Stegostoma tigrinum: one gene and its partners. The protein of the gene in region 4 purifies or fractionates together with the protein of the main gene of each other region. This does not show direct contact. Links are inferred from orthologs where the notes say so. Each region holds a gene or a part of one and is shown on either strand. Other genes may lie near its edges. The genes, in order: protein PALS1-like, lats2, nf2b and amotl2a.

Region 1 (7,009 bases), on a different chromosome or scaffold from region 4:
TCCCTAACTGAAAACTTGATCTTAAGTTCACGTGCTGGATCAGCACATACCTAACACAGTATTATTACAATAGTTACAGTGAAATAAATAGTAATTCAAATAGCTGAATGAGCCATAGCACATGGTTCCAAGAATCCAACAACTCCAATTAAGTGCTGCTGTTCAACTTCACCTTAAATTCCATAATGAACTTCTGTTTTGCAAAGCCAGCTCATCACCATTGTCTCAACTCACACAGCTAATTCCTAGCAGTAGTATTGTAACTGCAGACACAAAACTGCATTGTCAGTACAAATAGCACAAAATAGATCACATGGAAAAGTAAAAATAAACTTACATCTTAAACTTTGAAGAAACTTAGGAGTTTCAAAATAAATTTCATTCTAAGATGCATCTCTCTTATTCAAACTCTAAGTTATATACTTAGGGGGGAAAAAAAGTACCAGTTTCATTCAATCTCAAAATCCATTGTCAGACCATAAGTTATAGAATGACTGAATCAGGTCAGTGCCTGGCTCTTTGGTAGAACTGTCCAGTTAATGTCACACCCCACAGTCTTGTAATTATTTTCCTTTGAGTGTTTATTCAATTCACTTTCAAATTTACGATTCTGTTTCTATTATCACTTCAGAAAACATTCTGGATCACAACAACTCACCATCAAATAAAGCCTTGGCATCTCATCCTACGACCTGTAGCAATTTGTATACATTCCTATACCAATTTTAACATGTGCACATTTTAGTTCATCTGGCCTGTCATCATTGATTGTAAAACATATCATTTCAAACTTCTCTTAATTTATAGGTCATCAATCATTTGCTAGTGCACTTCAGTCACCTTGAAGTCTTGTTTCTCGCCTCATTAATTACTACATTTCCAAGCTCTGTACAACACAAACTTTAAAATTATATCTGCTGTACCAAATCTAGGCTAATCAATAGCAAAAAGATCAGTGATCCTAATGCGTACATCCCTCCAGCCTGAAACAGCATTCATCTTTAATGAGGAAAAGTCATTGACCTGAAACATTAACAGTTTCTCTTTATAAAGATGCTGCAGGATCCACTGAGTATTTCCAACTTTGTTACTACTCCATTAACCACTACTGTTTACTTTCTTCACTTAAACTTTATATCCATGTTGCCAGATTTCCCCAAACCCCGTGGTCTATCAATTCAGTAACAAGGAATTTCTGAAAACACACACAATCATGTTCATCATCACAATAGTCTTTTACTGTGAAGAACTTGACAAATAAGTCAAACATAACCTGCTTTAACAAATCCAGACTTCAAATGATTACTCAATATTGATCCAAACATCACTTAATTTTGTCCAGATTATTGGTGCTAAAAGCTTCTTTTGATGCTAACCTAATTAGCCCATAATTGCTGCTTTATCCCACTTTAAACATGTTAAATCCTTTGGTAGTGCCCCACAGCATACAAAATTGAGAGATTACGACTACAGCGTTTGTAATTTCCACCTGTACCTCGGTCAATAATATGGCAGGCATCCCATCTGGACGATGTAGCTGTTCTTTTTTCGAGAACTGCTTGCTTTTAAATACGTCTTTTTATATATTTTGATTCTAAAACCACAGTCTCTTATTTTTAACAAACAGATGCAAATACTTGTAAATTGCCTTAGTCGTGCTCTCTGCCAGTTCAAGTCGATCTTTCTGGTCCTCAATCGCCAAATCCTGCCTTTGATCGTCCTGTCATTGTTTATGATAGTCATAAAAGACCGTTGACTTACGCTTATTTTCTCCTTGTCCCTGTTAGTTTCTAAGTTTATCGTTACGCTTTTCACATTTGGCTTTGTTATCAGTGGTATTTTGAATCGTAAATTAGTCCATGAGGTGTCCTTTCCGAGTTTCATTTTAATGTTTAAAACTATAGCTATCCAACTAACTTTAAATTGCCCTTCTTTTCCCTCGTCCAGCAAAGTTTCTATTCCGCACCCAACCCACCTTCACACCGAAAGCACCCGCCCCGGGCACCCAATTGCCGAAAGCTGAATTGGAGTTTCTAAACTGGAAGGACATCTCTTGTGGAATTACTGCATTTTAATTCTGGCGAAATCATGCAGCATTGACGCTGCTGTGAATTATTTTCAGTCTAACCTTGTGAACCAGCACAACATCCAGAAGCACCACTCTGCCCATCTCCACCACAACTGCAACTACCCAGGATATTCCAACAATCCCACCGCGCAACAATGCCAAACTTCGTTTTTGTCTACACTTGTTTAGAAAACAAGACTTGGTTAAAATTTCATGACGGCTGGACCTAACTGAGAAGGTTAGAGGCCAGAGATGGGAATTAGTTTCCCTTCTTTGCCGGGGAGGATGTAAATTAGATGCGAAGGCTCGGGCGGTGACAAATAAAGGAGAATCCAACACACCCAAAACCCAGTAATACAGAGCTAAAATAGCCTGCCTTTTCTTTCCTCTGAGACGAGTTCCTTCGGCACCAGAGGGAGAAGGCTACGTGGACTCGACCTTATGCTAAAAACATTTCCTAGTAACTTTTTTTCCAGCCCGACTCTTCCTCCCTCCACCACCCCGTGCCGCCTGCCTTTTCTTCTCCTTTGCCAACCCGATTCTCACCTCTTTCCCAAACTAGGCCGGACTCCCAAGCCAAGTGAAAGGCTCCTCTCGATACAAACTTGCGCCTTGGCGGGGGGTGAATAAAACGGCCGAAAGCTCCTTCTGGCGGTTGATACCCACTAACCTGTTGACGGAGAAAGAGAGCCGGGCTTGATGCCGGTGTCTGAGATCAGACACTCGGCTGTGAGCGAAGGAGCTTCACGATCGGAGCCCCCTTACTCTGTGTGTTTGCCGGGGGTGGTTGTTGGATTTGTTTTGTTCGACACCTCCTCACCTCGAATGGAGGATTCCAACTGCCTCCGGCCGCGAGCGGTGCGTTCTTTCTTGGGGGAGGGCGGGGGTAGGGAGGAGTAAAAATAAACGGACTCTGTGCCTGGCTGAGGACGCGACCCGTGCGTGTGCGCGCAGTCGCTCGCGAGGGCTCCTCAACCTCGCCCCCTTCGGAAGAGGGAGGTACAAGCTCGTTGAGTTTCGGGTGAAGGGAAAGTGGAGGTGGGTGTGGGAGAAATGGATGCGCGCGCATGCCTGCTCCAACTTAGGCCCGGCCGCGCGCGCGCATGCCTGCTCCAACTTAAGCCCGGCCGCGCGCGCGCACTCACTGGAGACAAAGGTGAAAGCCCGAGCTGCGCCAGGAATGTTTTATTTTGCAATGCGATCCCAGCGGCGGAGGGGAGAAAGGAGGAGGAGGGGCTCGATCGGATCGGGTTAGTTCAGGGAGCTTTGGAAATCACAACACCTGACTGTCGCAGTCTTCTTGCAGACTTGAAGCAAAGCAGATCTACCCCAGCACCTCCGCTTATCCCTTCCTGGGACTGGAGCCAGCCTTCTCAACACTTTTCTGAAACTATTTCGCGGTCTTGCCGGGCGACTCCTTTATTTCCACCCCATCCCCCTCCACTGGTGAATCGCTACATGGTGCAAGAAAAAAAACAGAAACTAGTGTCAATTCTCAATTCCAAGTATCCCTGGAAAGATCACAGGTTGCCTCAGTTTGAGGCCTGAACAAAAATGCCATGCCCGACCTTAATACCGAACACGGTCAACTTCAGCGGGACGTCTGCGAAAGACAAGAGTGCTTGGGCTGCTCTTGGTCGATAGTCATATCAGAAAGGCTAAACATGCTGCTTGGCCTGCTGTATTCATGCAGCTCCACACCTTGTTATCTCAGAAAGGCTAAACTCAGGATATGAAATGCTGAAGAAACTCGGATCTGGCTGTAGGGACGTGAATGTTTCGAGTCCCGTTTACTTCGGGAACTCGAACACTTTCTGTTTTTATTTCAGATTTCCAGCATCCGCAACATTTTGCGTTGACGTCAGGGAGAACAAACTAATTCCAACATTCCCACAAATAACTTCACCGTGTCTTGAATACCAAAGGCAAATATTATTGCAAACAACTGAGGTGGAGGTTTCGTATCAACAAAATATTCTCAGAATCAATATCTGCCTCAAATACAGCCAAGTTTCCAGACTCTGCTGCAATTAGTGCAATGAGCTGATTTGGGTAAATGATTTGCTGCCCTCCCGCTATCGCGCAATGTTGTGATACACGCCCATCTGTTTTCAGTTTGGTGCCTACCAACCACATTACTTGTCACAATCCACTTCCCCCGCCCTGGTTCTGAGTGTTTGGCTACATCTTCCGATAAGCTAATGACGCTGCTAATTGTAGGCCTTGACGAACTTTTAAAAAATGAAAGCGAGTCCAAAATGCTGTAGAATGCACAGGCTATTGGCGAGTTTATGAATCGGCGTGTGAAATTTTATAGACGAAGTTGACTTAGGTTGTTAAATAGCTCCCTGATTTTGGAGATTTAGAAAAAAAAACATTGTGGATCGCACGCTTGGCGAGTGAAAAGTTGTTACTATCCTGTCGTTTTTCATGGACACAGAATCCGTTCCTGTGAAGATGCATGTAAGCGTGATATCTTCAAAGATACGTGAAAATTATACGCATCTCGGGGGCATAACAAGCATTAAGACCAAATTCTAATATCCAATTTTCCGTGTGTGTAGTTGAAGGTATAACCCTACTTTCTTTAACTGTTCTCTGCTATCACCGGTTTGATGGACTGTATTTAAGACTAGCGACGAAGATTTGTGCAAGGTCTGTCACACAGTCTCGAACGATGGGTAACAAGTTTTGTCTTGAATCATTGAATCATTTATTGTCACGTGTATTCGGTGTAAAACTACAGTGAAAAGTGGGTACCTTGAGAGCGCCATTCATAAGAATAAGAAAAAAAATAATTTAAGCGAGTCCAACTGTCTTTTCCACCGCGCAGTCTCCCTTCCTTTGCAGTTACGTGTTTTCTGCTCCCCGATAAACAGTTTGACAGATATCTTTAATCAACCTGTTCTGGAGCAGGTGGCCCTCGAAGCGGCATATTCTGGCCCAGAGATAGGGGCCGTAGCGCCACAATTCCCTGCCCAACTGGTTTTGTGAAAAGATAACGAGGTGTAGAGCTGGATGAACACAGCTGGCCAAGCAGCATCAGAGGAGCAGGAAGGTTGACGTTTCGGACCTAGACCCTTCAGAAAGAGTCCACTTCTAAAGATAATTCGCATTTTACCCGGATTATGGAAATCTGCCCTTCTCCGAATCGAATTTTTACCAACCAAGGACACAGACAAAATTTAGCATGTTTATCAAGTAAGACAATTGTAAATTGCAAAGATTTAAAATCGATAGTTGTTCTTAACGTAGGCTATTATAACTATTATAATGTTAATATTCAAAATATGTATTGAGTAAACGTGCTATATTAAAAACACTATATTACCACCAGCCTACGATACTTGTGCTCAAGTTATCACACGTTTAATTTTCATCTAACCATCCTCCATTTCCTCACTAAATTATGAATTAAGGAAGTAAAATAGAGCCCATGGAATACCACTGAATTAAATGTGAGGCTTTTAAAAAGCAATTTTAAATTAGATGCATATGTTGTGATGCCTTAACCCCATCCCGACACACCCATCCCACATCAGCTCTCATGCACCTCACCTCAAATTCTCACTGAGTTTAGCAGGATGCCAAAAACAGTCACACAGGAAAATACCTGGGAAACACAAATACCAAATAAAAGTCTAAAGAAGAGTCAAACTGAACTCAAAATATGAACTCTCTTTCTCTCTCTACAGATCCTGCCAGACCCACTAAGTTTCTCCAGCACTTTCTGTTTTTATCTGTTTTCCAGCACTACAGTATTTTTGCTTTTATAAAAGTCCTGTTGTTGTAAACAAGAAGACAATGTTTATTTTATCCAGCATGCCTATAATAACAGAATATAACTATTCTGTTTTTATATAAAATTGAGTGTTTTTGGAGGATTTGGTTTGCCTCATCTGAAACTTTGGGCATCTCTGAAGTTTTCTTTCACTACTAAAGTTTCTGCTTCCAAAATATGGGTCAGATCTTCATTGATACTCAAAATGAAATAAATCAATTCAAACAGAATTAATTTATTATTATTTCAAACCTAATAAATATTTGGGAATATTCAAAATAAAAACCAAAAGAACTGCAGATGCTGTAAATCAGGGACAAGTTGCTGGAAGAGCTCAGCAGGTCTGGCAACATCTGTGAAGAGAAAATCAGAGTTAATGTTTCAAATCTGGTGAACCTTCTGAGGAAGGGTGATTGGATCCAAAACATTAACTCTGATTTTCTCTTCACAGATGCTGCCAGGCTTGCTGAGTTTTTCCAGCAACTTCCATTTGTGTTGGGAATATACAAAGCCTTTGTGTGGAGAGTATTTTGTTCTGAAGCTAGTCTAACTTGAATCTAGGATTATTCCAGATATAAAACTGTGAAATAGCACCTTGCCCATTTAAACATCATTCATTGTTCTGAAAACATTTGACAACATTTGGACAAGCATATGGACGTACATGGAATAGTGTAGGTTAGATGGGTTTGAGATCGGTATGACAGGTTGGCACAACATCGAGGGCCAAAGGGCCTGTACTGTGCTGTTATGTTCTATGTTCTAACATTTAATTCTCCTTGCTTTAAAATGAATATAAATAGTTGTATTTAATACATCTTACAAGATGCATTATTTGATTCTTCTTATTCCATAGCAACATGTGGGGAGGTGTCAATGATGCAGTGATTAGTTATCCTGCCTCAGAGCTGGAAGCACTGGGTTTATCCCTCATTCAGGACTAGGTGGTCAATGGAGTCATGTTCACAATGTGGCCAAACAATGTGAGTATCAGGGAGAAATTCCGGGTCAGCCATGTGTGGAACAGGATATTGGAGCTTCTACAATCCCAATTTGTAACTTGAGGCCACTAATGTATGAAAAAATGCATGGTGTTACAACAGTTTGAATTCCTGCATGAACTGAAACAAAATAGCATCAATGGAAATTCCCTTATCACT
Region 2 (7,174 bases), on a different chromosome or scaffold from region 4:
TGGGGAGGGGATAGGTCAGTCCAGGCAAGACGGACAGGTGAAGGAGGTTGGATGAGGTACTAGGTAGGAAATGGAGGTGCGGCTTGAGGTGGGAGGAAGGGATGGGTGAGAGGAAGAACAGGTTAGGGAGGCAGAGACAGGCTGGACTGATTTTGGGATGCAGTTGGGGGAGGGGATGAGCTGGTCTGGTTGTGTGGTGCAGTGGGGGGAGGGGACAAACTGGGCTGGTTTTGGGATGTGGTGGGGGAAACGGGAGATTTTGAAGCTGGTGAAGTCCACATTGATACCATTGGGCTGCAGAGTTCCCAAGTGGAATATGAGTTGCTGTTCCTGCAACCTTTGGGTGGCATCCTGGTGGCACTGCAGGAGGCCCATGATGGACATGTCATCTGAAGAATGGGAGGGGGAATTAAAATGGTTCGTGACTGGGAGGTGCAGTTGTTTATTGCGAACCGAGCAGAGGTGTTCTGCAAAGCGGTCCCCAAGCCTCTGCTTGGTTTCCCCAATGTTGGGGCAGCCACACCGAGTACAATGGATACAGTATACCACATTGGCAGATGTGCAGGTGAACCTCTGCTTAATGTGGAAAGTCATCTTGGGGCCTGGGATGGGGGTGAGGGAGGAGGTGTGGGGCAAGTGTAGCAATTCCTGCAGTTGCAGGGGAAATGCCGGGTGTGGTGGGGTTGGAGGGGCAGAGTGGAGCGAACAAGGGAGTCACGGAGAGAGCGGTCTCTCCGGAAGGCAGACGAGGGTGGGGATGGAAAAATGTGTTGGGTGGTGGGGTCGGCTTGTAGATGGCGGAAGTGTCGGAGGATGATGCGTCGTATCCGGAGGTTGGTGGGGTGGTGTGTGAGAACGAGGGGGATCCTCTTAGGGCGGTTGTGGCAGGGACGGGGTGTGAGGGATGTATTGTGGGAAATGCGGGAGACGCAGTCAAGGGCGTTCTCGACCACTGCGGGGGGCAAGTTGCAGTCCTTGAAGAACTTGGACATCTGGGATGTGCGGGAGTGGAATGCCTCATCCTGCGAGCAGATGCGGCGGACGCGGAGGAACTGGGAATAGGGGATGGAATTTTTGCAGGAGGGTGGGTGGGAGGAGATGTATTCTAGGTAGCTGTGGGAGTTGGTGGGCTTGAAATGGACATCAGTTACTAGCTGGTTGCCTGAGATGGAGACTGAGAGGTCCAGGAAGTTGAGGGATGTGTTGAAGATGGCCCAGGTGAACTTGAGGTTGGGGTGGAAGGTGTTGGTGAAGTGGATGAACTGTTCGAGTTCCTCTGGGGAGCAAGAGGCGGCGCCGATACAGTCATCAATGTACCGGAGGAAGAGGTGGGGTTTGGGGCCTGTGTAGGTGCGGAAGAGAGACTGTTCCACGTAACCTACAAAGAGGCTCGCATAGCTGGGGCCCATGGCCACCCCCTTGGTCTGTAGGAAGTGGGAGGAATCGAAAGAGAAGTTGTTGAGGGTGAGGACTAGTTCGGCGAGGGGGACTGATCGGGCCTGCGTGACAGGAAGAAGCGGAGGGCCTTGAGGCCATCTGCATGAGGAATACAGGTGTATAGGGACTGGACTTCCATGGTGAAAGAGAGGTGTTGGGGGCCAGGGAATTGGAAGTCCTGGAGGAGGTGGAGGGCATGGGTGGTGTCACAGACGTAGGTAGGGAATTCCTGGACCGAAGGGGAGAAAATGGAGTCCAGATAGGTGGAGATGAGTTCGGTGAGGCAGCAACAGGCTGAGACAATGGGTCGACCAGGGCAGGCAGGTTTGTGGATTTTGGGAAGGAGATAGAAACGGGCCGTGCAGGTTTGGGGAACAATGAGGTTGGAGGCTGTGGGTGGGAGGGACTGCAACTTTCCCCCCGCAGTGCCACAAGGATGCCACCCAAAGTTTGCAGGAACAGCAACTCATATTCCACTTGGGAACCCTGCAGCCCAATGGTATCAATGTGGACTTCACCAGCTTCAAAACCTCCCCTTCCCCCACCGCATCCCAAAACCAGCCCAGTTTGTCTCCTCCCCCCGCTGCATCACACAACCAGCCCAGCTCATCCCCTCCCCCAACTGCATCCCAAAACCAGCCCAGCCTGTCTCTGCCTCCCTAATCTGTTCTTCCTCTCACCCATCCCTTCCTCCCATCTCAAGCCGCAACTCCATTTCCTACCTACTAACCCCATCCCACCTCCTTAACCTGTCCGTCTTCCCTGGACTGACCTATCCCCTCCCTACCTATATTCTCCTCTCCACCTATCTTCTTTTCTCTCCATCTTCGGTCCGCCTCCCCCTCTTTCCCCATTTATTCCAGAACCCTCTCCCCATCCCCCTCTCTGATGAAGTGTCTCGGCCCGAAACATCAGCTTTTGTGCTCCTAAAATGCTGCTTGGCCTGCTGTGTTCATCCAGCTCCACACTTTGTAATCTTGGATTTTCCAGCATCTGCAGTTCCTATTATCTCTGAAAATATATTTCAATCGGTCAGCATCGTGGACGTTAAAAACCCGTCTCACAAAATGACTAATACCAACAAATGTCACAGAAAAGGCATGCCATAAACACGGTCAGTCTTATAAATTATCAGCAAGCATCACACGGTAATGGGGTGAGAGGGGTCGAGGCCCAAAACGTCAGCTTTCCTGCTCCTCTGATGCTGCTTGGCCTGCTGTGTTCATTCAGCTCTACACCTTGTTATCATAATGATATTTAAGGAAATTAAGTCTCACAGAATCTAATTTTCTACAGTAACAGAAGTTGATGTAAAATCTGGGCCTTTAAATGTTATACATAAGCTAGACACAAGTTAAATACGATAATGCAATTCCAAAACTAAAATAGTCAATCTTATGCTTTTCCTTACTTTCGCCATTTAGTTGAGTTGGTTTTCCCAAGGGTTTAATTTTATTCTTTTGTGTTTGTCCGTTCGTTTGAGAGAAGCCTGTACGAGAGTTCTCAACTGTGATGGAAATCTATTTTCTCCTCACCCATCCCAACGCCACAGTATGTGGGCGGAGCTTCCGAACTTCCTGATTGACAGTTACGCGTCGCATTGTTTTCATTCCATCTCAGTCACGTGGCCGCGCGCGCCCGCGTGCGTCGCTGCGCTGGCATTCGACGAGGAGGCGGGGCGGAGGTTTGGTCGTGGAATTTGGTATCCGATTACTCAATACCGAGCTGAACTTTAGGCCTGTGGTGCCCTTGAACCCACATCTAAATGTCAACGAAATCTAACTAGAACTTGTGGTGTTCAACGTAATAGCATTCAAAAGCAAACTGAACACTATTTCTCGGAACAAAAAGAGTTTATTATGACTATTCGGCTAGTGCTGGTTCTTGCAAAGATGTATGTAATTTCACTTTCCTGCTCTTTTTAACATGCCGTGCGTTTCCCTGAAGTTTTAAAAGCATTTTTTGCAATTTCCTTTTGAAAGTCACCATTGAATCAAGTTCCACCAGCCTTTCCGTAGCTGGTTTGATGATCAAAGTCATACCATCCACACAGTGCGGAAAAGGCCGTTTGGCCCAATCGAGACTGCGCTGACCCTCCAAGCCCGCACCCTATCGCTGTAACCCCGCATTTACTGTGGTCAACGCATCCACCCAATCTGCACATTTTTGGGCTGTGCGAGGAAACCCATTGCAGACACAGTAGAAGTAGGATTTTTTTCAGAATAGAATTTTTCAGAAATTTCTGAAGAATTCACCCGAAACGTCAGCTTTCCCGCTCCCCTGATACTGCCCGACCTAAGCTAATTTTTCAAATTGCCCTGGATCCAATGGGTTCTTAACTTCTTAACTAATCTGGCAAACAATATGTAATAAAAATCCTTACTAAAGATACAGATGATACAAGGTGGTTGTAAACAGCATGATAACATCACTGCAGTGGTCAAATTGACAGGAAAATGGCAAATGGAATTCAGTCAAAAGCAGCGTGCATTTGAGCTGCCTAATCAAGATAAGAGAATACATAAGAGATTACAGTGGAAGATACTTTGAACATCCCACTAATACCAAAAAGCGTGGGAGAAGAACTAAGTACCATTGCTAGTGAAGTAGGATTAGACAAAGTAATGGGGCTAAAGGCAGATGTGTTCCCAGCCCTAATGGCTAGCAAAATAATATCCAAAAAGAAGTAGCTATCTCTAATTCTGATGAAGGGTCTAGGCCTGAAACGTCAGCTTTTGTGCTCCTGAGATGCTGCTGGGCCTGCTGTGTTCATCCAGCCTCACATTTTATTATCCTAGCTATCTAGATAGTTTCTCGTCCTCTGTTTCTGCCACTGTATTTCTCATCTTCTATGGTATCATCCTCTGTTTCTGCCACTCTGTTTCTGATCCTCTGCTTCTCACCCTCTGTTTCTGTCACTGTTTTTCATCCTCTGTTTCGCCTCATGTTTCTCATTCTCTGTTTCTGCTGCTGTGTTACTTACTCCTTGTTTCTGCCTCTGTTTCTCATCCTTTCGTTCTGCCATTGTGTTTTCATGCTTTCTCTCTCATCTTCTGTTTCTGCCACTCAGTTTCTCATGCTCTGTTTCTACCACTGTTTCTGATCTTCTGTTTCTCATCCTCTGTTTCTGCGATTGTGTTTCTCATACTTTGTTTCTCTGCATCCGTTTCATTCTCTTTTTTTCTCGTCATCTGTTTCCATCACCACTATTATCATGCTTTGTTTCTCATCTTCTATTTCTTGGCCTCTGTTTCTGCCACTCTGTTTCTCATCCACTGTGTCTCTTCATGAGTTTCTCATTTTATGTTTCTGCCACTCCGTTTCTCATCCTCTGTTTCTGATCCTCTGTTTGTTGACTCAAAAACTTCCAGACCCCGCAAGAGTTCCATTAACTTCTTTATTTTAGCTTAGCCAGCGAGAGCTCCGGAGTCAATACCAGAGTAACAGTCAAGCTCTCACTGGTGGACTCTCGTCAGACCTCTATGCATAGCATAAAAGTAGTACAATTTATAGCCCTCACGTGTGTGATTAACATACATATTTCACTATCCGACATGACTAAATGTTATCACATCCCATACTGTTCACATGCGTCATAAGCAGATAAGTAGTGCAGTTAACACTGTTACATTGAATAGAGGAAGCAGCCCCAGCCGTGGGAGAACAGCTGCAACCTTCAGGTTGTTACAAACACAGGCACACATTCCAAAATTTATGGTAAATCGTTATTTCAGCAAAACTTCTAATTATTGCTTCCCCAATACTTTATCATGTTTCTCATCCTCTGTCTCTGCCACTCTGTTTCTCACCAATGTTTATATTGCTGTTTATGCCACAGCGTTTCTCATCCTCTGTTTCTCATCTTCTATTTCTCGGCCTCTGTTTCTGTCACTCTGTTTCCCATCTTTTGTGTCTCATCGTCTGTTTTACCGCCTTTGTTTCTGCTGCTGTTTCTCATTCCCTAATTCTGCCACTCTGTTTCTCATACTCTGTTTCACCCCATCTGTTTCTCATCCTCTGTTTCTCCTCATGTGTTTCTTGTTTTCTGTTTTCCCACTCTCTGTTTCTGGCGCTCTGTTTCTCGTCCTCTGTTTTGCATTCTCTGTTTCTGCCAGTCTGTTTCTCATCCTTTGTTCCAGCCCATCTGTTTCTCATGATCTGTTTCTCATCCTCTGTTTCTCCTCGTGTTTCTTATTTTATGTTTTTCCACTCTGTTTCTCATCCTCTGTTTCTCATCCTCCGTTTCTGCCACTCTTATTGCCATCTTTTGTTTCTGCACGTCTATTTCTGTGTGTCTGTTTGTCATCCAGTGTTTCTCATCCTCTTTTTTCACCCTCTGTTTCTGCTCAAGTGTTTCTCATCCTCTGCTTCTCAAACAGTGTTTCTCGTCCTCTGTTTCCCAACCTTGTTTCTCATCCTCTGTGTCTGGCCCACTGTTTCTCTTCCTCTGTTTCGCATCCTTTGTTTCTGTCCCTCTGTTCCTGCCCCTGTGTTACTCATCTTCTGTTTTCACTCATGTGTTTGTATTCCGTTGTTTCCCATCCTCTGCTTCTGTTTCTCTTTCTCTGATTCTGCACCGGGATTTAATCATCTGTTTGTATCCCTCTGTCTCTCATCCTCTGCGACCCTCTCTTTCTGCCCCACTACTTATGCCCTTTCATTTCTGCCCCTCTGTTTTTCTTCCTCTGTTTCTCTTGCTCTGTTCCTCATCATTGTTTGCCAAACTCTGCTTCCCAACCTCTCATTCTCATCCTCTGTTTCTCTTCCTCTGTTTCTGTCCCCTCCTTCTGGCTGGCTACATTTGCCCACCTGTTTCTCCTCTTCTGTTTCTCAACCTCTGTTTCTCATGCACTGTTTCTGCCTCTCTGCATCTTGTCCTCTGCTTCTCATCCTCTGTTACTGTCCCTCTGTTTTTGCCCACCTGTTTTTTATCCACTGTTTCTCATCCTCTGATTCTCTTTCTCTGGTTCTCTTCCTCTGTTTCTCATGCTCTGTTTTTGCCCCTCTGTTTCTGCCCCTCTGTTTCTGCCTCTCTGCTTCTAATCCTCTGTTTCTCCTCCTTGGGTTTTAATCATCTGTTTCCCAAACTCTTTCTCATCCTCTGTTTCTGTCCCTCTGTTCCTAATCCCCTGTTTCTCATTCTCTAATTCTCATCCTCAGTTTATTTCTCACTGTTCCAACAGCTTTGTCTCTTCTCCTCTGATTCTCATTGTCTATTTCTCTCTCTCTTTCTGTCCCTCTTTTTCTCATTCTTTGTTTCTCATTCTCTGTTTCTGTGCTTCTGTTTCGGGCCTGTTGTTTCCATTCTCTGTTTCTCATCCTCAGTTTCTGCCTTTCTGTTTCACCCCATTTGTCTCTACTCCTGGTTCTCATTCTCTCTTTTTCACCCTCTGATTCTCACGTTCTGTTTCTCATCCTTTGATGAAAAGCCCTGCTTCGGCACCTCTCAATCTCATCGATTGTCTCTCATTCTCTCTTTCTGCCCCTCTATTTCTCATTCTCTTTTTCCCATTCTTTGCTTCTGACTTTTGTTTCTGTCCTTCTATTTCTGCTCTGTTGCTCTCATTCTGGGTTTCTCATTCTCAGTTTCTGCCCTTTTCAGTCCCTGTTTCTCTTCCTCTCTTTCTCATTCTCTGCGTCTCACCCTCTGATTCTCATTTCTTGTTTCTCATCCTCTGTTTCTGCCACTCAGTTTCTCTTGCTCTGTCTTCCCTCCTCTGTTTCTGCAAATTTGTTT
Region 3 (7,812 bases), on a different chromosome or scaffold from region 4:
GTGTGTGATCTCACCAAAATGTATAGAATTTCTATAAGCTCTGACAGGATACATGTAGATAAACGATTCTCTTGAATGGTGAGTCTAAAACCAGGGGTCATAATCTCAAGATAACAAAGTGTGGGGCTGAATGAACACAGCAGACCAAGCAGCATCTTAGGAGCACAAAAGCTGACAATTTGGGCCTAGACCCTTCATCAGAAAAGGGGTTTGGGAAGAGGACTCTGAAATAAATAGGGAAAGAGGGGGAGGCGGACTGAAGATGGATAGAGGAGAAGATAGGTGGAGAGGAGAGTATGGGTGGTAAGGAGGGGATAGGTCAGTCTGGGGAGAACAGACAGGTCAAGGGAGCAGGATGAGGTTAGGAAATGGAGGCACAGCTTGAGGTGGGAGGAGGGGATAAGTGAGAGGAAGAACAGGTTAGGCAGACGGGGATGAGCTGGGCTGGTTTTGGGATGCAGTGGGGGGAGGGGATATTTTGAAGCTGGTGAAATCCACATTGATACCATTGGGCTGCAGGGTTCCCAAGCGGAATATGAATTGCTGTTCCTGCAACCTATGGGTGGCATCATTATGGCACTGCAGGAGGCCTAGGATGGACATGGAACCCTGCAGCCCAACGGTATCAATGTGGATTTCACCAGCTTCAAAATCTCCCCTCCCCCACTGCATCCCAAACCCAGCCCAGCTCATCCCCGCCTGCCTAACCTGTTCTTCCTCTCACCTATCCCCTCCTCCCACCTCAAGCTGCACCTCCATTTCCTACCTACTAACCTCATCCCACCCCCTTAACCAGTCCATTCTCCCCAGACTGACCTATCCCCTCCTTACCTCCCCACCACCTATCTTCTCCTCTATCCATCTTAAGTCCGCCTCCCCCTCTCTCCCTATTTATTTCAGAATCCTTGCCTCATCCCCCTTTTCTGATGAAGGATCTAGGCCTGAAATGTCAGCTTTTGTGCTCCTGAGATGCTGCTTGGCCTGCTGTGTTTATCCAGCTCCACACTTTATTATCCTGGATTCTCCAGCATCTGCAGTTCCCATTATCTCTGGTCATAATCTCAAGAGGTTGGCCATTTAAGATTAAGAGTTGTAAAAATTTCTTAACATAGAGGGTAGTGATTCTTTGCAATTCTCTAGCCCAGAGTGTTGTGGATGTTTAATCATTAGAACGTTCGTGACAGAAAAATCAATAGGTTTCTGGATTCTAAAGACATCAAGGGACATGAATACTGAGGTCATGATCTAATTGAACAATGGAGCAGGTTTTTGATTGACTGAATGGTGTGCTCCTCATCTTTGCTTAACTGGCAGACAGGTTTTAAAGAATTTCTGGATGGATAAATTAATAACCTATATAGTACTTTAAATAAAACTTATGTCGGCACTTCACAGGTGCATTCTATACTGTAAAGAAAACTCTGACACTAAATCTCAAATGGCAATATTCAACATGTCAAAATATGATCAAAGAAGTATATTTTTTTTGGATAAGGGAACCAAAACTGTATCTAGCAAGCCAGATAAGGTCTTAGCAAGCTTTTTAGGAATTATCTTAACAAAGAGACAGTGGGCAGAGAATGCAGAAGATGTTTTACATTGGAAGGCAGGAGAATACAGGGCTTCTAATGTTGAGAGAACTGGCAGCTAATCACACAGCATGAACATTAGAACAGTTAAAATCAGGACTGATTAAGGGGCCAGAATCAGGAGCGGGCAGTTATCTCAAAATTTTGTGGAGGCAAAACAAATCACAGAGATAGGGAGAGGCAAAACAGTTGGAGGTGTTAGGTTTAAAATCAAGCATGAGTTTTATCATCAAGGCATTAGGTCAATCTATATCAGTGATCACAGTGATCATTGGTGACCAGGACTTGATGCAAATAAGGAGATGGCCATCAGAATTTTGGATTACCTATAACATGGGAAGAACATGGAGAATGGGCAGCCGCGCATTAGATTAAATCAAATCTAAAGCAAAGGCATGAAATGGGATTTACAGATGAGCTGAGGCAGAATAAATGTTAAAAATAGTCAATCTTAGTGATGTTGTAGATATGCAATCAAAAGCTTCTCTCACGAACAAATATGATATGATGATTTAGAATTATCAGATCAACCATGATTTCACTGAATGAGGTTGGGAATTGATGGACCCAATGGCCTACTTCTGCTATTATAATTTACAGTGACAATTGCCTGGCTCATTCTGTTCGCCTGTATCCTCAACGTCTTTCCTCTGGCAGTTATGAAATGTTTGACACTTTTTCTTACAGACTTGTGAGTTCTTTCCCCCCACAACAGTGGCCTCTCAAAGCACATGTAGGTGTTTTGAGAGGCGCTTGCTACTTTAAACTGATTTGAGAATAAAATGGAAGAAAAAGGAAGATTTATTTCAATCTGTGCATCATTTATTGTGTGTGTGTTTGGTGCAGTGAGACTTAGGCTCCGCAGTAAGTTGTAAGAAACCATAAAAAGTGTGACAAGTTCAAAGGCAGTTCCAGATGGCTAAAATTACTAAGGTTATTTCTCAATTCGCATCACTGGCCATTCTGGTTATTGTTTATCTCGAGTGGAGAGATATCCACAAATACCGACCTCACAAAATACAAATATGATTCAGATTTCACAATCCAGCACATACTATATCAGGATCAAACAATTCTGAAGGCCTAAACAATAGTTACCCTGTTCTGTCCAACCATAATTGAAAATGTTACCGCAACATTCCCCAGTAAATTATCATCTCATTTGAATAAGTTCATTTTCTTTAGGCTTGGCTCCATTCAGGATTCAGCCAGTGCTCACTGCCGATACTCACCGACAAAGACCGAGCCCCGGGCCTGCAGTTACAGGCACTGCCGTGTGAAGCTGACGGTCAGCCCGGACTGTCCAACAGCGGCCACTCTCGGCCACCGGCACTGAACAATGTCACGGACTCAGCTCTACGAGCGACATCCAGAATCGGTTCATTCCGTCCGGCCCTGCGCCTGCCCAGCACCGCGGCTCCACGGAGCGACAGCGGCCAACTGCAATGGAGCGCACCCTCCCGGTGGGAGGACCGGCCAGCAGCCCAGGCGACACCTGAAAAATTTAGGATAACCCAGTGCGGAGCTGCAGGAACAGGAAAGCTGACTTTTTTCTGATGAAGCGATTAGGCCCGAAACGTCGGCTTTTGTGCTCCTAAGATGCTGTTTGGCCTGCTGTGTTCATCCAGCTCCACACTTTGTTATCTAGGTAAGCTGACGTTTCGGGTCGGGACCCGAAGGATGCTGCTCCCTGGCCTGCTGTGTTCCTCCAGCTCTACACCTTGTTATCTCAGACTCCAGCATCAGCAGTTCCAACTATCTCTATAAAAGAATTGGGGATGCTGGAAATCTCAAACAGAAACTGCAGGAGAAACTCAGCAAGTCGAGCAGCATCTTAGGAGAGAAAACAGAACTAACGTTTCCATGACGGGGTTACTCATTTGACTCTGCTTTCTCTCCACAGGTATTGCCAGACTTGTTGAGTTTCTCTAGGTCTTGGTTTCCACATCACCCCTTCTTCCTCATTCCTCCTACAACTCCCTTCCTTTAATCCCGTAGCAATACTGCCTTCCTCTTTTCTCCAGCAAGACAACTTCACTCCTTCTGTTTTTATTCACTTGTAGGATGCAGTAGTCACTTTTCACACCGTTGACGTGATTAATACCTTCTCGCTGAATATGTATGGAACGTATTTTCAGCCTTCGCTAAGATACCGCACAGATTCGCGATGTGTTTTCTGTGACAGTCCGGGGGAAGAACAAAAAGACGTCCCCCAGCGCTTTACCCGATAATATGTTTGAACTGAAAGACGATGTTCTAATGTAAAAACAAAAGCGAATTTACACACAGCAAACACCCAGAAACAGCAAAATGAATCGGTTCTGGTGAAGTCATTGGACTCGAAACGTTAACTTTCTTCTCACAGATGCGGCCAGACCTGCGTGTCTCCAGCAATTTGTTTTTGTTTTAGCTTTATTACAGCACTATGAATGGTTAGACAATCTGTTTTCTAATGTTGATAGAGAATGCAGTGAATGTCGGTCAGCACACTAAGGATAATTCCCCTGCCCTTAGAATAATGCTACTGGATTATTATCGTGCAACTTTAACATAAAACCTGCTGACTTTTTCCAGCAATTTCTGTTTTTGCAGCAGATTTAACATTTCATCAAAAAAGCACCTCCGACACTGTAGCATTTCACACAATCCAGAACCTTCTGACTCAAGCAAGAACGTTACCACTCAAAAGACAACCATAACCCGCACTTTTGAAAAGAAAGGTAAAATCAAGGGGACTGGGGTGGAATTGAATTTAGATCTACATGTACAATCTTCGTGTTCAGATCATAAGGCCGACTTGCGAACCCATTTTAGCTCCAAATGCCGAGATAACCCGCAACATAGAACATAGGCGAGGACATTGCGCGCATGTGCACACCTCAGGCAGAGGTACCGCGCATGCGCTGCTGCCAGCGGAAGTGTCCGTCTCTTCGAAATTCTCTATCCGGGAGGAGTGGACCCGATCAGGTATGTTCATGGCACATCAAGGTGCTTCTTCTACGTGATTAGGAGGTAGTAAACAACATCGATAAGAGGAAAACATTACACAAAAGTCTTACTTATTTCTTATATTTTGCTTTAAGACCCCAAGCTAATAATTATTGCCGTGCATTATTTGGTCAAATTCTCTTATTCTCTTCTCATGTTATCCGAGTGTAGCAATGTCCGAAGTTCTCAAAATCTTCTGAATTCTTTTATAGACGAAAATGAGAATTTCACTGAATAAGGAAGATGTAACCAATGTTGGTGGTGTTGAAAGGGATAAGCCTTATTATATAACATTATTATATAATGCATTTATTTCGAAGCCTTGCTTCCAAGTACTTCTGAAATCATGATAGAAAGAAATACTAATGTGTTTGAAGGAGAGATTAGTGTGGACCATATGTCCCGAAAATAGGCAGATCTTATCAACCCGAATCCTTCAGCTGGTTAATAAAATGTGAGGCTCGATGAACACAGCAGGCCCAGCAGCATCTCAGGAGCACAAAAGCTGACGTTTCAGGCCTAGACCCTTCATCAGAGAGGGGGATGGGGTGAGGGTTCTGGAATAAATAGGGAGAGAGGAGAAGGCGGACCGAAGATGGAGAGAAAAGAAGATAGGTGGAGAGGAGAGTATAGGTGGGAAGGGGATAGGTCAGTCCAGGGAAGACGGACAGGTCAAGGAGGAGGGATGAGGTTAGTTGGTAGGAGATGGAGGTGCGGCTTGGGGTGGGAGTAAGGGATGGGTGAGAGGAAGAACAGGTTAGGGAGGCAGAGACGGGTTGGACTGATTTTAGGATGCAGTGGGTGGAGGGGAAGAACTGGGCTGGTTGTGTGGTGCAGTGGGGGGCGGGGATGAACTGGGCTGGTTTTGGGATGCGGTGGGGGAAGGGGAGATTTTAAAGCTGGTGAAGTCCACATTGATACCATTGGGCTGCAGGGTTCCCAAGCGGAATATGAGTTGCTGTTCCTGCAACCTTTGGGTGGCATCATTGTGGCACTGCAGGAGGCCCATGATGGACATGTCCTCTAAAGAATGGGAGGGGGAGTGGAAATGGTTTGCGACTGGGAGGTGCAGTTGTTTATTGCGAACCGAGCGGAGGTGTTCTGCAAAGCGGTCCCCAAGCCTTTGCTTGGTTTCCCCAATGTAGAGGAAGCCACGCCGGGTACAGTGGATGCAGTATACCGCATTGGCAGATGTGCAGGTGAACCTCTGCTTAATGTGGAAAGTCATCTTGGGGCCTGGGATAGGGGTGAGGGGGGAGGTGTGGGGGCAAGTGTAGCATTTCCTGCGTTTGCAGGGGAAGGTGCCGGGTGTGATGGGGTTGGAGGGTAGTGTGGAGCGAACAAGGAAGTCACGGAGAGAGTGGTCTCTCCGGAAAGCAGACATGGGTGGGGATGGAAAAATGTCTTGGGTGGTGGGGTCGGATTGTAACACAGGTCCCAAACTCCACTTCTTCCTCCGTTACATTGATGACTGTATCGGCGCCGCCTCTTGCTCCCCAGAGGAGCTTGAACAGTTCATCCACTTCAACACCTTCCACCCCAACCTTCAGTTCACCTGGGCCATCTCCAGCACATCCCGCACCTTCCTGGATCTCTCAGTCTCCATCTCAGGCAACCAGCTTGTAACTGATGTCCATTTCAAGCCCACCTCCTCCCACCCACCCTCCTGCAAAAATTCCATCCCCTATTCCCAATTCCTCCGCCTCCGCCGCATCTGCTCCCACGATGAGGCATTCCACTCCCGCACATCCCAGATGTCCAAGTTCTTCAAGGACTGCAACTTTCCCCCCACAGTGGTCGAGAACGCCCTTGACCGCGTCTCCCGCATTTCCCGCAACACATTCCTCACACCCCGCCCCCGCCACAACTGCCCAAAGAGGATCCCCCTCGTTCTCACACACCACCCGACCAACCTCCGGATACAACGCATCATCCTCCGACACTTCCGCCATCTATAATCTGACCCCACCACCCAAGACATTTTTCCATCCCCACCCATGTCTGCTTTCCGGAGACACCACTCTCTCCATGACTCCCTTGTTCGCTCCACACTGCCCTCCAACCCCACCACACCCGGCACCTTCCCCTGCAACCGCAGGAAATGCTACACTTGCCCCCACACCTCCTCCCTCACCCCATCCCAGGCCCCAAGATGACTTTCCACATTAAGCAGAGGTTCACCTGCACATCTGCCAATGTGGTATACTGCATCCACTGTACCCGGCGTGGCTTCCTCTACGTTGGGGAAACCAAGCGGAGGCTTGGGGACCGCTTTGCAGAACACCTCCACTCGGTTCGCAATAAACAACTGCACCTCCCAGTCGCAAACCATTTCCACTCCCCCTCCCATTCTTTTGAGGACATGTCCATCATGGGCCTCCTGTAGTGCCACAATGATGCCACCCGAAGTTGCAGGAACAGCAACTCATATTCCGCTTGGGAACCCTGCAGCCCAATGGTATCAGTGTGGACTTCACCAGCTTCAAAATCTCCCCTTCCCCCACCGCATCCCAAAACCAGCCCAGTTCGTCCCCTCCCCCCACTGCACCACACAACCAGCCCAGCTCCACCCACTGCATCCCAAAACCAGTCCAACCCGTCTCTGCCTCCCTAACCTGTTCTTCCTCTCACCCATCCCTTCCTCCCACCCCAAGCCGCACCTCCATCTCCTACCTACTAACCTCATCCCACCTCCTTGACCTGTCTGTCTTCCCTGGACTGACCTATCCCCTCCCTACCTCCCCACCTATACTCTCCTCTCCACCTATCTTCTTTTCTCTCCATCTTCGGTCCGCCTTGCCCTCTCTCCCTATATATTCCAGAACCCTCACCCCCATCCCCCTCTCTGATGAAGGGTCTAGGCCCGAAACGTCAGCTTTTGTGCTCCTGAGACGCTGCTTGGCCTGCTGTGTTCATCCAGCCTCACATTTTATTATCTCGGATTCTCCAGCATCTGCAGTTCCCATTATCACTCCTTCAGCTGGTTCCAACATGCGAGAAACTGACCATACAATCAGCCTGTACTTGCAAAATTCAAAGATTGTCCAGCATAAAATATGAGATTGGATAAATTTCCTAACTAAGCCTAAGTTTGGTAAGAAATATGTTTACAACTAATTTAAGATTGTCATTTGGGGTCGCAACGTAGCACATGCATGTACAGGTAACTACATCTGGTCTCTATTTTTGGCAGACAGACATACATTATTTCAACTTTAGACATCAACTATTCTCT
Region 4 (6,856 bases):
TTGAGAGAGCCTGAATTGGCTGGAGCTTTATTCCCTGGTGTGTCAGAGACTGAGGGCTGCCCTTCTAAAGGTTTGTAAAAACATGTGGGGCATGGATAGGCTGATTAGCCAAGGTCTTTTCCCCAGGCTAGGTAAGTCCAAAACTAGACGGCATAGGTTTAGCAAGAGAGGAGAAAGATTTAGAAAGAACCTGAGGGGCAACTTTTTCATGCAGATGGTGGTGTGTATTTGGAATGAGCTGCCAGAGGAAGTGGTGAAGGCTGGTACAATTACAACATTTAAAAGGCATCTGGATGGATTCATGAATAGGAAGGGTTTAGAGGGATATGGGCCAAATGCTAGCAAATGGGACTAGATTGATTTAGGATATCTTGATGGCAGGGGTGAGTTGGACCAATAGGTCTATTTCTATGCTGTACATCTTTATGACTGTGTGGCTATGATTATGGCACAACTGCTAGATCTCATTCTTCTGTCTTCCATTTTCAAGTTCTATGTTTCTAACTTTCATTCTTGTATCCCTGATCAAGTTCCCAGCCTTTCTCATTCTCATCCATGACAATGATAGCAAATTCTGTTACAATGACATTGTTTGTGTTCCTGCTGATATGCAACCTGTCCAGCTTGTACAGTTCCCGAGATACCAATTCCAATGCCTCAGGATCTAAATCTCTCCCTCCTACACCACTTTCTTCATGCCAAGTCATTCATTCAAATATTCTATTCTCCTATTTCCAATCCTGCTCATATGTGGTACTGGGAGTAATCCCAAGATTGCTATATTTGTGTTCCGACTGTTTGAATGTATTTCCCAGCTCCCTGTATTCTGCTTGAAGGATCATATTTCTCTTTTTGCCTATGGTCTTGGTTACTGATATTGACTATAGTGTTCTCCCACACTCTTCAGAATACCTTTGATCCTGGCACCAGGGAGACAACACACCATGCTGGAGTCACATCTGCTTCCACAAAACCATTTATCTAATACCCCCATGATTATCATTCACCTTCAGATCTGACTGAACCATATACAACATCATTTCACCTTGCTTCATCACTAAAAATGCTGACATATCCAGGAAGACACAAGAAATGGAAAGCTCCTTGTCTTCACCACTGAATATCTTGGTAAACATTGCTGTCCTGTTCCTTCCACCCTCACCTCCAACATGAAGCACTCATGACTTTCTATTACAAAGACTGAAGAGATCCATTTGGCAGCCTCTACTAATTCAGTCATCTCTTCTGTACTAGGCAAAGCATCCCCTAAGGTTTCTTTCCATCCTAGCTCTGAGCTCGCAACTTTCTGTAGTTTCTCTGCCACTTTGGAGAAAGGCATCAAACCACTCCATCATCAGTTGAACAAAGAGACAGTAAGAGTAATCAAAACTGTAGAGTCACTGATGTTTAAAAATCCATACAAAAACTGTGAATGGCACAATGGCTCAGTGCCAGGGAGCCAGGATTCCATCCGCAGACAACAGTCTGTGTGGACTTTGCACATTCACCCCATGTCTGTGTGGGTTTCATCCGGGCACTCCAATTTCCTCCCACAGTCCAAAGATGTGCAGGTGGATTGGCCATTGGAAATGGCCCACAGGATAGGGATAAGTGAATGGGTGGCATGCTCTTCAGAGGATGTTTGTGGACTTGATGGGAAGAATGTCCTGCTTCCACACTGTAGAGATTCTATAAGGAGCAAGCTGCCTCAGGGATGGTGTATGTGTAGACATCCGATGTCTGAGGTACTCTGGACTGGTATCTCAATGGCAGGCAAGGCAGTCTATAAAACCTGTCTCTATGGACAGACATTTTTTGAACTTTCTTTGAGCTCTTGCCAAGCAGCCAAAACACCCCACTCTCCAATACAGTAATCCAATGACATGAACTGTGCTCCTGCCAACAACTAATCTGCACTAGCTGTATTTTGGTACTCTGTGGTATCACTGAGAACCTGTACTAATATTTATTCCTCTTTAACTAGCCTGTACATCTTCAACTCAGGCACTGTTACTCTTTGACAATCCAATCCCTGGAGTCAAGGCAACTCATTTCTAATTTTATGATTATATGTTTTAATTGCTTGATTCATAACATTTTGATTTTGGATCTGGGCAAAGAGAATTTCTTGGTCCTTTTAGTAGTGACTTAAACAACCTGGAATCAGGGTGATTCCTGCCAGTTGGTGTTCAGGTCTGGTGAAAGAAGTGGGAATTGAAATTTTACTGAAGAGATGGGATAAAGAGGGGATTTCAGAATGACAAAACTCTAACTAGTGTGCCACAGGGATCAGAGCTGGACCCACAAATATTTACAATGTGAATTGATGACTTGGTTGAGGGAAGTAAATATATTATAGACACATTTGCAGATGACACAAAATAGTTGGGAAAGGAAGTGGTGAGGATGATGCAAAGAGTTTGCGAAGGGATACATACAGGTTAAGTGTGGGCAAAATCTTGTCAGAGGGAATATAATGTGGGGAAATGTGAGGTTATGCACTTTGGCAGGAAGTATAGGCGAGCTGAATATTGTTTAAATGGAGAAAGATTGCAGAAAGCTACAGAACAGAGGAAGTCTTCAGCTATGAATCACAAAAGGTTAGCATCCAAATTCAGCTAGTGATAGGAAAGGCAAATGGAATGTTGGCCATTATTTCAAAGCAAGGTATTTAAAAAGGGGAGTCAGACCACAGCTGGAATACTGTGAGCAGTTTGGTCCTCTTCTCTAAGGCAGGATACAGAGGCATACCCTCCAGTCCAGAGAAGGCTCCCTCCTCGTTGTTGAGGGACTGTCATTTGAGGAGAGGCTGAATAAGTTGGGCCTGGATTCATTCGAATTTAGAAACATGAGAGGTGAAATTATTGAAACATATAAGATTTCTAAGAGACTTGCTGGGGGAAGCATGGAGAGATTGTTCCCCCTCGTAGGAGAGTCTACCACTAGAGGGGATCATCTATGAAGAAGGGGGTCTCCCTTTTAAGGCAGAGATAAGGATTTCTTTTCTCTGGGAGGTTGATGAATGGTGGAATTCTTTGCCACAGAGGCAGTGGAGGCCAGATCATCAAGGCTGAGATAGACAGCTGTTTAATTAGCAAGGGAATGGAGGGTTATGGGGCAAAGGTGGGAAAGTGTGCTAAGGATTTATCAGATCAGCCATGACCTTATGGAAAAGTGGAGCAGACTTGACTGGCCGTTTTACATCCGCTCCTGAAGTTTAGTGAGACCATTCGACCTCCAATATGTTTGCCCATTGCCTGCTGGGTGATGGAACTGTGTCCCACATCCCCATTTATCCTTTGTTGTCTCTCTCCCCAGTGCAAATCTCCATACTGGTGATATTGGAGCTCCGCTTTGAAATGTGAGTATCGGACCAGTAAGTGCCACTCGCCAGCTCTTCTTTGTCGTATTTATTATCTTCTGCGGTATGCTGTTAAATAAGAACCAAAAGAATTGCGGAAGCTGTAAATCGGAAACAAAAACGTTGCTGGAAACGCTCAGCAGGTCTGGCAGCATCTGTGGAGGAGAAAAAAAGAGTTAACGTTTCGGGTCCGGTGACCCTTCCACACGGCAATGTGTTCTGAGCTTTTCCAGCAACTTTGTTTTTGTTCCATGCTTTTAAATAAACTCAACTTCAATTCATCTACTTTGAGGGCTTAAAGATTGCATAGCCCCCGGGATTGGGAAGGAGAAGAGTCCCAGATATCCATCGCTCCGGTGTCAATGCAAGCTGCTGTTTGAGTTTCTCCAGCATCGCCCCCCACCCCCCAGTTTAGATGGTATTTTCCGCAGTGTTATCACTCTGTGCTGTGCCGTGAGATTGAACTGTTTGCTCATTGTGTGTGCCCTCTGCAGGTTGAGTCTTGGTGTGCGGTAGGAGCTGCCTTTGATAGAGCCAGGAACGCGCATTCCTGACATTCCTGCCGCTGCTGCATCGCCCCGGCTGCAGCTGGGATCTTGCCATTCCATAGCGAGCAAGCAAACAGGCGGCTAGGGCTGTCCGGTTCCCAGTTCCCACACCACGGTCACTTCCAGCACCGAAATCTGAGCTTGAGGCAGAGCTAGGACTCTGTCCCTGATGTGAAAAACCCCACTCCAGGTCAGTCTCCCATTTCTCATTCTATTATAGTGTCTGTTCAGCCTTTTGGGGACAAGCTCGAACGGATTTCACACTCGAGCCTGCCGAATAGTCTGGAGAAGGTGCGACCTGTTCCGAGTGCTTCCCCCGGGTTCATCTGCTCACGGGAGAGTTATTTGCTCGCCTTACGGGTGTGAGCAGCCGCATTTTCACAGGTCTCAGCCGGAAACTGTCCGCCTCCCCGAGCCGTTTCTCCCAGTGCCGGCGTGAGCTGATCTCCGTCACACAGCCTACTGGCTGCTGAGCTCACTCAACAGGAATGTGCCAGCCAAAAGGAGCCAGTGAAGGAAATATACGCCGACTTAGTCACGATTAGACTGAAATATTCTTCCCGTGTTGCTAAAGATTTCAGATTCAAATTTTCACCCAGTGTTGGTAAAGATTTCGAATTGTAATTTTCACCCAGAGTTGGTAAAGATTTCGGATCGTAATTTTCACCCAGTGTTGGTAAAGGTAATGAGTTATAATGTTCACGCTATAGTGAAGATAAGGATTGTAATATTCACCCCAAGGTGGTAAAGATTTTAGAATGCAATATTGTATTGTAATATTTACTTTTGTATGAAAGATTATAGATTATAAAATCTCTCTGTATTAGTAATTATATTATAGTGCAAAAAATAAAGTGTACCTTTATGTTATTACCGTTTATAAGAGAACAAAAAAACTTAGTTTACTGTAAACTTTACAGATGGGAGAGAACTTTATCAAATAATAATTAAGTTCGTAAACAATTAGGCTCTTTGACATGCTGCAATCTCTGATGCAATTGTTACGCTGAAATTCTTCAATAATCCTTACAGATGTTAATGGCAAGAAAATCTTTTTATGTTTAACATTAGAGATTTTTGAAGAATATTGAAAATATATGGGATGATGGATTAGTGCTGGAGAGTGAAATGAGCAGACTTTTGAGTTGAGTGCAGTAGTGGATTGAAAGATGTTTTCACATTGTTGTGGAATGCATGTTTTGCCCCAGGATGTTGCAGGTTAGTGAATGAGCTATTGTTTTGGAAATTTGCAGGAATTCAGTTCCATTTGCAAGTCTGTTGTATTTTGTTAGTGGCCCCATTCAGGGAAAGCCATACATTAAAAAAAGTAGCCCAACTTTTCAAAATATACCTTTATTTGTGTATCAACTATTAATATCTGATGATCTGCTTTTTTCACCTTCTGCAAATGTATTTTGGGACCAGATCTGTTTCCTGCAAGTTTGAATGGTTAGAAATGGTAATAATTATTATTGGCATTTTAGCTGGAAAAAACACTTGCAATTTTGAGGCAGGGTTTATGAGAGTGGCCTGAAATTCTGTTGATCTGGAGTAAAATCAGAAACACATCTAAATTGGAGGAATAATGGGATCTCTTCACTCTTGATCACCCATCCATTCTCACAATGGACTAAGTGATTTTGTGCTTTCATTACTGCCAGCATTGCCTCAAATCGTTTCAAAAATCTTTGTGACTGTAGTCCAGTGGTCGTGCAGACCCTCCTTTACATGTTTTTTTAATAATCCATTCCAAATTCCTGTCAAACAAGATTTAAAATTTAAAATGAATTTCTCACCTATGTTGTGAGTTTTACAACATGTTGTCTGATATAGTTAAAGATTTAGGATCAGATAAAACACAGGCGGTTTTAAATGTAGGGGCTTTGAGAAGAAATCACTCACGATCTTTAAATTTCACAACTTATTGTGGAAGTTTCCCACAGGATATTCAGGCTAACAATTGCTCAACGTCTCAGCAGCCAATCCCCAACTCCATTTTCCACCCCCCCCCCGCCAGATTCTTGCAATAGTCATTTCATACTCACAATTTAATGTCTGACATTCCTCAAATTCATGCCATTATCTTGTGATGATAAAACAACTACCCTGAGCCTGGATAGCTGTTGTTGCAGCCTGACGTGCTGTCACCAGGGAAACAGTTCCCAGGGGCATGCATGTGGGCAGCATTTGGCTGGGGCAGGCTCTGGAACGCAATGTGACAGGGTTAGTGCTGCTAGATTGTATCCTGTGTCATTTTCTTGGAAATAACTTCAGTATTTTTGCTGAGGACGAGGGGGAGTAAGTGTTGGCAAGTTGTGCACATACTGTTCGAGCTTGAAAGAAACACTGTACGATATAGAGTCCTGTGCTTGCCTGTAAATCACTCATTGTGCCCATTTCACAAACTTACTGCACTGAGAATTCAATGGGCATGTGTAGTTTTGCAATGTTACAATTGATTTCAAGACTTAATTGGTATAAAAAATGTATTGAATTTGGTAGATTGAGGATGCAAGGGAGATTTATTAGAATAGTATCAAGGCAAAGAACACTTGTTATGTGGAGAGATTGAAGAAGCTGGGATTGTTAGTCAGAGAAGGTAAAGGGACTATTTGACAGGTTGTTAAAATGATAAAGGTTTTTGTTTTGGGGAGTTGAAGTGTTCCCATTGGCAACAAAGCTGGATAACTAGAGGACACAGGTTCATAGCGAGTGGTAAAAGAATCTTGGTGGAGAATATTTGAAAAAAGCAACTTTTTATTATCTGCCTGAAAGGGTAATGGAGTTAGCTTCAAGAACTTTCAAAAAATAATTTCCAAAAGGAAACGATTTTCAGGACTGTGTGAAAGCAAAGGGGCTGAAACTGAAACTCATCTGAAGAGTTGACACAAGCATAATGGGCTGAATGGCCTCCTGACCTTATGGGTTCTATGAAGTATGTAACAAT

The links.
Region 1: the proteins of amotl2a (region 4) and protein PALS1-like purify together in Homo sapiens (affinity purification with mass spectrometry; 3 studies listed by BioGRID and IntAct, counting the BioPlex papers as one, with this or other methods). This does not show direct contact. The link is inferred for Stegostoma tigrinum from reciprocal best matches to the Homo sapiens genes AMOTL2 and PALS1.
Region 2: the proteins of amotl2a (region 4) and lats2 purify together in Homo sapiens (affinity purification with western blotting; 3 studies listed by BioGRID). This does not show direct contact. The link is inferred for Stegostoma tigrinum from reciprocal best matches to the Homo sapiens genes AMOTL2 and LATS2.
Region 3: the proteins of amotl2a (region 4) and nf2b purify together in Homo sapiens (affinity purification with mass spectrometry; 5 studies listed by BioGRID and IntAct, with this or other methods). This does not show direct contact. The link is inferred for Stegostoma tigrinum from reciprocal best matches to the Homo sapiens genes AMOTL2 and NF2.

Annotation. Positions count from the first base shown.
Region 1 is NC_081363.1:69,480,049-69,487,057, forward strand, and holds the start of protein PALS1-like, read right to left. Parts: upstream 3,015-7,009; 5' UTR 2,739-3,014; exon of another isoform or gene 2,615-2,738; intron 1-2,614. UniProt on the Homo sapiens protein: Plays a role in tight junction biogenesis and in the establishment of cell polarity in epithelial cells.
Region 2 is NC_081359.1:73,335,302-73,342,475, forward strand, and holds the start of lats2 (serine/threonine-protein kinase LATS2), read right to left. Parts: upstream 3,003-7,174; 5' UTR 2,858-3,002; coding exon of another isoform or gene 2,849-2,857; intron 1-2,848. UniProt on the Homo sapiens protein: Negative regulator of YAP1 in the Hippo signaling pathway that plays a pivotal role in organ size control and tumor suppression by restricting proliferation and promoting apoptosis.
Region 3 is NC_081380.1:17,857,146-17,864,957, reverse strand, and holds the start of nf2b (NF2, moesin-ezrin-radixin like (MERLIN) tumor suppressor b), read right to left. Parts: upstream 3,021-7,812; 5' UTR 2,822-3,020; intron 1-2,821. UniProt on the Homo sapiens protein: Probable regulator of the Hippo/SWH (Sav/Wts/Hpo) signaling pathway, a signaling pathway that plays a pivotal role in tumor suppression by restricting proliferation and promoting apoptosis.
Region 4 is NC_081367.1:1,412,971-1,419,826, reverse strand, and holds the start of amotl2a (angiomotin-like 2a), read left to right. Parts: upstream 1-3,837; 5' UTR 3,838-4,099; intron 4,100-4,234; exon of another isoform or gene 4,235-4,591; intron 4,592-6,026; exon of another isoform or gene 6,027-6,132; intron 6,133-6,856. UniProt on the Homo sapiens protein: Regulates the translocation of phosphorylated SRC to peripheral cell-matrix adhesion sites. Required for proper architecture of actin filaments.